2 linked regions of the Callithrix jacchus genome follow. The protein of the gene in region 1 purifies or fractionates together with the protein of each later gene. This does not show direct contact. Links are inferred from orthologs where the notes say so. Each region holds a gene or a part of one and is shown in the gene's direction. Other genes may lie near its edges.

What was found.
Region 2: the proteins of APAF1 (region 1) and CYCS purify together in Homo sapiens (affinity purification with western blotting; 3 studies listed by BioGRID and IntAct, with this or other methods). This does not show direct contact. The link is inferred for Callithrix jacchus from reciprocal best matches to the Homo sapiens genes APAF1 and CYCS.

What each region holds. Positions count from the first base shown.
Region 1 is NC_133510.1:101,817,082-101,820,684, forward strand, and holds part of APAF1 (apoptotic protease-activating factor 1), read left to right. Parts: intron 1-182; coding exon 183-308; intron 309-1,938; coding exon 1,939-2,064; intron 2,065-3,603. UniProt on the Homo sapiens protein: Oligomeric Apaf-1 mediates the cytochrome c-dependent autocatalytic activation of pro-caspase-9 (Apaf-3), leading to the activation of caspase-3 and apoptosis. This activation requires ATP. Isoform 6 is less effective in inducing apoptosis.
Region 2 is NC_133512.1:32,935,812-32,940,144, forward strand, and holds the start of CYCS (cytochrome c), read left to right. Parts: upstream 1-1,489; 5' UTR 1,490-1,547; intron 1,548-3,200; 5' UTR 3,201-3,208; coding exon 3,209-3,377; intron 3,378-3,484; coding exon 3,485-3,633; 3' UTR 3,634-4,333. UniProt on the Homo sapiens protein: Electron carrier protein. The oxidized form of the cytochrome c heme group can accept an electron from the heme group of the cytochrome c1 subunit of cytochrome reductase.

The sequences.
Region 1 (3,603 bases):
TGCCCGGCCCATCTGCTGTGTTTTAATGAGCATTTATACTAGCAGACATTTAAAATAAAGGGGTCAGAACAGTCAGTGTACTAAAACTCTTGTTTTATAGATTTGTCATATAGCTGATTGTGGTTTTTACTAAAATGTTCTTAAAAGTGTCAACCTCCAGGTTCTTTTTTTTTTTTTTTAAGGTATGGAATATTTTTACTGGAAAAGTAGAAAAAGACTTTGTCTGTCACCAGGGTACAGTACTTTCTTGTGACATTTCTCATGATGCTACCAAGTTTTCATCTACCTCTGCTGACAAGACTGCAAAGGTAGGTCAATCAGTTGAAACCCTGCATAAAACTTTGGTAGTGGTTATGCATAATGAGTCCAAATAATATATCCAACAGGACATAACAGTTGCTCGCTACATGTCTGTCTCATGTTTTGTTATCTTTTGGAGGATACCCATTGGTATTTAGTTGGTGTCAAATTAAATACATTGAGGACTAATGATTTCTCCCTTATGGATTATTTTTTGTCTATAACTAATCAAATGCAACCTCTATTACATATTGTAGGCAATAAAAATCATTGAAAGGGATTTACATTTAATTATACACTGATGGTAAAATTTTAACATAATTGATGTAATATAATAGACTTGTGTATAAAATCACATTCTGCTGAATGATGCTGCTTGGTTGGGGACCTTGAGTATTCCCTTCTCTCCTTTTTTCTCCTACCAATCTTTCCAGACTATAAACCTTGGAATCGTCAGGGACTCTATTTTGATTTTGACTTTTGTGCTCTGTTGATGACTCTTTAGTGCCCTATAGATTTGTCTTCTCCTCCTTGTCACTGCCCTGAAGAGCATGCTTTCCTCCTCCTCCACTGGTGGACTGTCCCAGCATCCTGCCTCTGGTCTGCACCTCTTCTACTTTATCTTCCATACCACTGCCTGTGTCCCTTGTTGAAACACCTGTTATCTGATGGTTTGTAGGCCAACTACTTAGCTTATCACTGTCTTTTTCTGCTACATTGTTTCCTCTATGCCAGCCTGCTTTCCACCTTCATCTTTTTGTGCATGCTGCTAACTTTGGTTTGATAAACCTCTACTCTTTTACCTTGAAGCATTGTGACTCATCCTTCTAGACTTAGATTTGATGGCAGCTCTTTTGAAGCATTTTCTTCTCTACCTTCAGGGTTTCTATTACATTTTATTCATTTGTTAGAACATTTACTTCATACAACTGTTCACTAACTGTTTATGAGCCTGCCTTTGTGATTGTACTATAAACTTTTCAAGGATAGTGACTGTAGCTAGTTTATCTTTTTGCACCACTAGTTCTTAGCTCACAGTGCTTGGAACTTGGTAGTTTTTAATATGTGCTTGCTAAATGAGGTTGACAAAACCATGAGAAAAAATATTGAAAGGAAAAAACCCCAGCATTTGGCTGCCAAGATAGTAGACTAGTATAGTGACTAACCTTTAAAGATTGTCACATGCTAGTAATTTCACTCTTTATAATCTCATTTAATTTTCACATCATAGGTAAGATTGTCCTCATTTTACAGATGCAGAGTCTGAAGCTATAGAAACTTATATGAGTTGTCCTAGTCACAAGAATCTAGCTAACAGTGGAGCCAGGACACACACTGAGGTCTGCTTCACTCCACAGACTGCTCTTAGCTGATTCAGTCTTCTTCCATCTAGGTCTAAAGTAGGGAAGAGGTGACATTGATCTTTGAGCTGAATTTAACTGAGTAATTAAAGGGAAACTAAGAAAAATTAAGAAGATTGCATGCTGGAACTTGGGCATCTCATGAAAGTTTATGAATTACCAAATATTAGAACTTCCATGTGATTGAATTTATGGCTGAAGAGCACTCAAGGCAGGGTTTGCAGATGGTTACTTTGAGCATATGTAGCATTGCTAAACAATCCTAATTGCCTTCCAGATCTGGAGTTTTGATCTCCTTTCGCCACTTCATGAATTGAGGGGCCATAATGGTTGTGTGCGCTGCTCTGCCTTCTCTGTGGACAGTACCTTGCTGGCAACGGGAGATGACAATGGAGAAATCAGGGTAGGCTGTTTGCTGGCATGAGAGCACTACTCTTCTTGTAGCTTGGGCTAGTACTCTTCACAGTGGGGACCTTTGTTCATGGGCCAGGGAAGCCTAGTTCCTGAAGTTGTGGTTGGATGAGGCATTCTTTTTGTTTCTTGTGCACATTGTATTCACAGCTGCGCTCCACTGCAGAAATGAATTTATTTTAGAGTTAGAGTGAAGCATTCCCTGTATATGTGAGAAGGCAAATGCTCTAGTTATTTGCAGTTCATTCTGCACCATTAGCTTGAGAATGATTCATCTTAATTTTTGGACTTGAACCAAAGGTTGTTTTTGGTAGCAGGATTTGAGGAAAATAATTTTGTAAATTGTGGTCTGGATTATAAATGAATTGCAAATCCTGCAGTTTCTGTGCTGAAAGAAAAGATCTCTTTAGCACTATACCCATTAGATAGCCATCTCCAGTGTGGTTTGTTGCAGTCCTCTGAGGACTGCCTGCCGGTTGAACAGAGCAGAGGTTCACATTTCGGTCACTGGGGGGCAGCGGAGAGCTCCTTATTGAGTCAGAGTCTCCATGATAGGCCAATTTTTATTACCCTGCGGTGCTTAAGATATGCATGCAAACCATGACAATTTTATTTAGAAAACCATTTTTTAAAAATATATAATTTTGACTTTTAGAAAACAACTTTTTAGGAGGCATAGAATGTTGTTTTCTTTGTATCTATGGAAACATAGTACACTATGGAAAAGTATTACATGCTGAAAGATTAGAAATTATGGAAAAGGAGTCAATTGACTTAGTTGTGTCAGAAGAACTATGGGGAGCTGATTGGAAAAGTTTGGGCATTGGGATGGTTGCTTTGGTAACCAGTGTATATGAGGAAGGTGGGGGTTTTCCCCCTTTCATTACAAAGGAGGATTTACAACTCCAGGAATAGGTATAGTGCAGAAGACTAGGAGAGTATACAGTTTGCAGGAATAGAGGTGTTATCAGATGGGCTTTCCAGGGAAATTAAGATTCTTCTTCTTGAGGACTAAGTAACCAACCTTCTCTACCAGTCACATAAATGTGTGTCAGCTGAAGTGGCAGGGCTGCTTTGGAAATGTTCATTTTGCTCTGAGTTTGCATCTTTGGATAAAAGTGCTCCTTTACCAGTTACGAGGTGGCATTTCAGTTTTCAACCACTGCAGAAAAAAATTGTCTCTCTTAAATTGTGTTATTTTACAAATATTTGTTGGTACATTAAAAAAATTTTTTCTCCCTAATTATTCAGAATATTGGAAAGCTGCTGATTTTTGTATGTATATGTACTGTCTTACTGAACTCTTTCTAATGAGTTTTTCCATTTGATTCTCTTGGATTTTCTAGGGAGACATTTGCAAATGATGATTTTATTTTCTTTTGTCATTTATGCCTCTGTTCTTTTTCTTATTCTGATGTACATTTATTTGAAGAATTAGAGCACTGCTTATATATTAAATGTCACTGGAAATAAATGGAAATATTAGCATCTGTGATAGGGTTGTTTATAAAAGTCTAGTAAAATAATTTTA
Region 2 (4,333 bases), on another chromosome or scaffold:
ATGCTTGGCACATAACATGCATAATAAATGCTTTTTTTGTTTGTTTGTTTGAGACAGTCTTACTCTGTCGCCCAGGCTGGAGTGCAGTGGCACGATCTCAACTCACTGCAATCTCTTCCTGTCGGGTTCAAGCGATTCTCCCGTCTCAGCCTCAGCCTCGTGAATAGCTGGGATTACAGGTGCGTGCCACCATGCCCGGCTAATTGTTGTATTTTTAGTAGAAACGAGGTTTCGTCATATTGCCAGGCTGGTCTCAAACTCCTGATCTCAGGTGATTAGCCCGCCTCGGCCTCCCAGAGTCCTGGGATTACAGGTGTGAATCACCTTGTCCGGCCAATGAATACGACTGAATACGGCAGTGTCAGATAGAATACAAGGCGAGGGAGTGGAGGGGAGAGAATACAAGAAAGGATGAAAATTAATCAGAACATGGGGCTAGAATTTGAGGAGTAAAGGTGTCAAAAAAAAAAAAAAAAAAAAAAACCAGTGACAGAACTGAGCATGTCAGGAAGGGGATCTAGTTTTAAATTATAATAACTAAAAGCTGTGGTATTAACGCCTTTATTTCTAATAAGACCTCATGCATAAGCTTACTTGAACATGACATTTACCTAGGTCAGAAGGGATGCAAATCCTCTAGATTTCCAAGAATTCTCTAATCATCTAAACATGTTTCTTCTTAGATGGTGCCAACACACCTTCCATGTTCTTTCTGCACACGAACGTGAGGGGGAGGAGGGCGCTGGCAGAAAAGTTGCCGACAGGTAAGGGGCCAGAGATATAATTGTCTCTACCGCAAATGCAGCACCTTCCCCATTCTTGGGGCGTCCAACAAGCGGAGAGCTAGAAGATGACTGAAAGTAACACAGTAGAGGTGGAACTAGAACAAGGTCACGAGCAAGTGCCCAACTCGTCTAACTCCTGGTTCCAGGCTGTGCCTCTGGGATGCTGTTGGCGCCAGCAGTGTTAGTATGACAGAGCCTGGGTAAAGGTCGTCTGCTGACGAGACGGTAGCTAGGAGACCTCTAGGTGAGCCAGAATTAGGGCGTCTTCTCCTGGACGTGCGGAACGCCCTGCCCAAACAAAGCTCATTACATCACCAGGCCTGTTACTTTAGCAGGGTAACGCGCCAAACCACCACCGACTCCGCCCCACCCTCCCCGCCCCTCTAGTATACGCAAGCGCACAAAGACCTGCGAGTGACGTCACCCCTCCCGGCACCACCGCGACGTCGTTTGACCAAAGGCCTGTCGTAACGGCCCGGCAAGAGAGGCCTGGAGAGGAAGGGCACGCACGCCGCACAGCCTACCCTGCTCGCTGGTATGCGCGCGCAGATCCTTGGCGCAAGCATTGGCACTGGAGCCAATGAAGCGCGGCAACGTCACTGCGTAGCCGCAAGCTCGGCTGTACGTCAGGGCGCGGGAGGGCGGAGCGAGTTTGGTTGCACTTACACTGGTACTTAGGCGCGGACCGGCGTGTCCTTGGACTTAGAGAGTGGGACGTCCGGCTTCTGAGTGGTAGTCTTTGTTGCGCTAACCACGAAAAAGGTGAGAGCGGGTCGCGGAAGCCGCATCTGGTTAGAAGCAGAGCTGTGGGGGGCACGTATTCGCGAGGATACGCGGGGAGCCTTCGAGGGGAGCCCGCGCGGGGTGGGAAGGCCGGACGTGAGGACCCTAGACTATGGTCAAACGAGAGCCAGGCGATCAACCGCTTGAGGTAGGGCGGAAGCCCAACTAAGGTCTCGGTCAGTTACTGGAGACGGCAAGACGCGTCCTCTTCCGTCGTGGTTGTTGAAGGGCTATGGAAACGATAGGCCAGACTTCCCTCCCTTAAAACCGAAGCGTAGCGTTTCATTTTCTGCTTCAGAGGGCAAAAGCTGTTGCTCCTCTAATAAGGGGTTGTTCTTTTCGTGGGCACATGTTTGTTCTTTCAATCGTTGCGGCGTCCTAGAAACGTGGGTTTCATCAGTCACCTTGAAACCGACCTGGATGGGTGACCTCGTGGTCACCTCGGGGGGATCACCGGTAAGAGAGTTGGGGATTTCTTGGGGACACCGTGCAGCCTACTCCTGCGCTCCAATTCACGCAGGAGTAGTGTCAAGCTACTCTTGTGCCCTGGGCAGGTAGAAACAATCAGAACCGTTTATTTTATTTTTAATTTATTTTTGAAGACGGAGTCTCGCTCCGTCACCCAGGCTGAAGTGCAGTAGCACGATCTCGGCTCACTGCAACTTCCGCCTCCCGGGTTCAAGCAATTCTCCTGCTTCGCCCTCCCTAGTACCTGGGACTACCGGTTTCCACCACCACGCCCGGCTTTTTTTTTTTTTTTTTTTTTTTCTTTCTTATGGAGTTTCGCTCTTCTTACCCAGCCTAGAGTGCAATGGCGCGATCTCGGCTCACTGCAACCTCCGCCTCCTGGGTTCAGGCAATTCTCCTGCCTCAGCCTTCCGAGTAGCTGGGACTACAGGCGCGCGCCACCATGCCCAGCTAAGTTTTTTGTATTTTTAGTAGAGACGGGGTTTCACCTTGTTGACCAGGATGGTCTCAATCTCTTGGCCTCCCAGAGTGCTGGGATTATAGGCATGAGCCACCGCGCCCGGCTTTTTTTTTTTTTTGTATTTTAGTAGAGACAGAATTTCACCATGTTAGCCAGGGTGGTTTCGTTCTCCTGACCTGGTGATGACAACCCACCCCTCCAAGCCTCCCAAAGTGCTGGGATTATAGGCGTGAGCCACCGCGCCGGGACCCAGGACCGATTTTTAAACATTTGTGCTTTGCATTATCCTCAGGGAGAGGTGGCTTTACATTGTAGTACGATTAAATGATTAGACCTTCTTAAAAGTTGCAGTTGTGGTGATTTTCACTTAATGTTCGCTGTTCTGCTTCGTATCTGTGACTGTTTGTGATCATGACCTTATCTTCTGAAACTGAAGTTTGAATTACGTTCCCATTTGCTTGCTTGGGTTTTAACCTTCCTTCACGTATACACACAAAAACAGGTTTTTAAGGAGGTGCTCCTAAAAAATGTTTTTGGTATGAAAGAGTATTGGGTATAAAAAGTATTAAAGCAAAAGAAGATTCATCTTAGTATTTAATGACATAAATTATCAATGGATTGGTAATTAAGTGACTAGAGTGGTCATTAGTTTACACTGTATTTGTTACCTGAAGAAAAATTATTGTTGGGTCTTTCGTTTTTAGAATTCAATATGGGTGATGTTGAGAAAGGCAAGAGGATTTTTATTCAGAAGTGTTCCCAATGTCACACGGTGGAAAAGGGAGGCAAGCACAAGACTGGGCCTAATCTCCATGGTATCTTTGGGCGGAAGACAGGTCAGGCCTCTGGATTCACTTACACTGAAGCCAATAAAAACAAAGGTAAGAGGAGAACACTTGTTAAATAAAACAGCACAAAACGCATGAACGTAACCTGTGGCAAACTCCGGAGTGTGAAATACTTAATGGATGCATTCTTTATCATTTAGGCATCATCTGGGGAGAGGATACACTGATGGAATATTTGGAGAATCCCAAGAAGTATATCCCTGGAACAAAAATGATCTTTGTCGGCATTAAGAAGAAGGGAGAAAGGGAAGACTTAATAGCTTATCTCAAAAAAGCTACTAATGAGTAATAATTGGCCACTGCCTTATTTATTACAAAACAAATGTCTCATGACTTTTTTATGTGTACCGTACTTTAATAGATCTCATACACCAGAATTTACATCATGAATGACTGACAGAATATTTTGTTGGGCAGTCCTGATTTAAGACTAAGACTGGCTTGTGGTTAAATGAATATGTTCAGTTTTTGGATTTTAATAGTAATTCCAATTTAGTAAATTCTGTCACACCCACCCCTTCTAAAGATATGATTAGACTTCATTAGTAATGTTAAAACTTTTCGCAAAGATGGTGAGTGCCATCTTAAAACTTACTGGAGATTGGTTTTATATTTAGATTTATATGACTGGTTATGTGAATATATTTAAATATGGGGGCAATTCCTTCACAGTCTCAGAACCAAGCAAGATTCACCTGTGTTTTGTGTTCGTTTGCCTCTTAAAGGCAAGGTTGAAGATAAACGGGTAGCAATGGCTATTTTATATTTTTGGCCTTAACTATGCCAATCTAATTAGAGTACCCTGTATTTAAAATGGTTCCTTTTACTTACTGAAAGGCATTTTGTGTGGTTTATGTGTAATATAAAAAATTATTTAACACTTCACACATTTTATAGATGATCTATAAGGTCACATGCTTTTAAAATAGTAGCCAATTAAACTTCACTCTTGGATTCTTTACAATCTAAGTCAAACTAAGTTATAATTT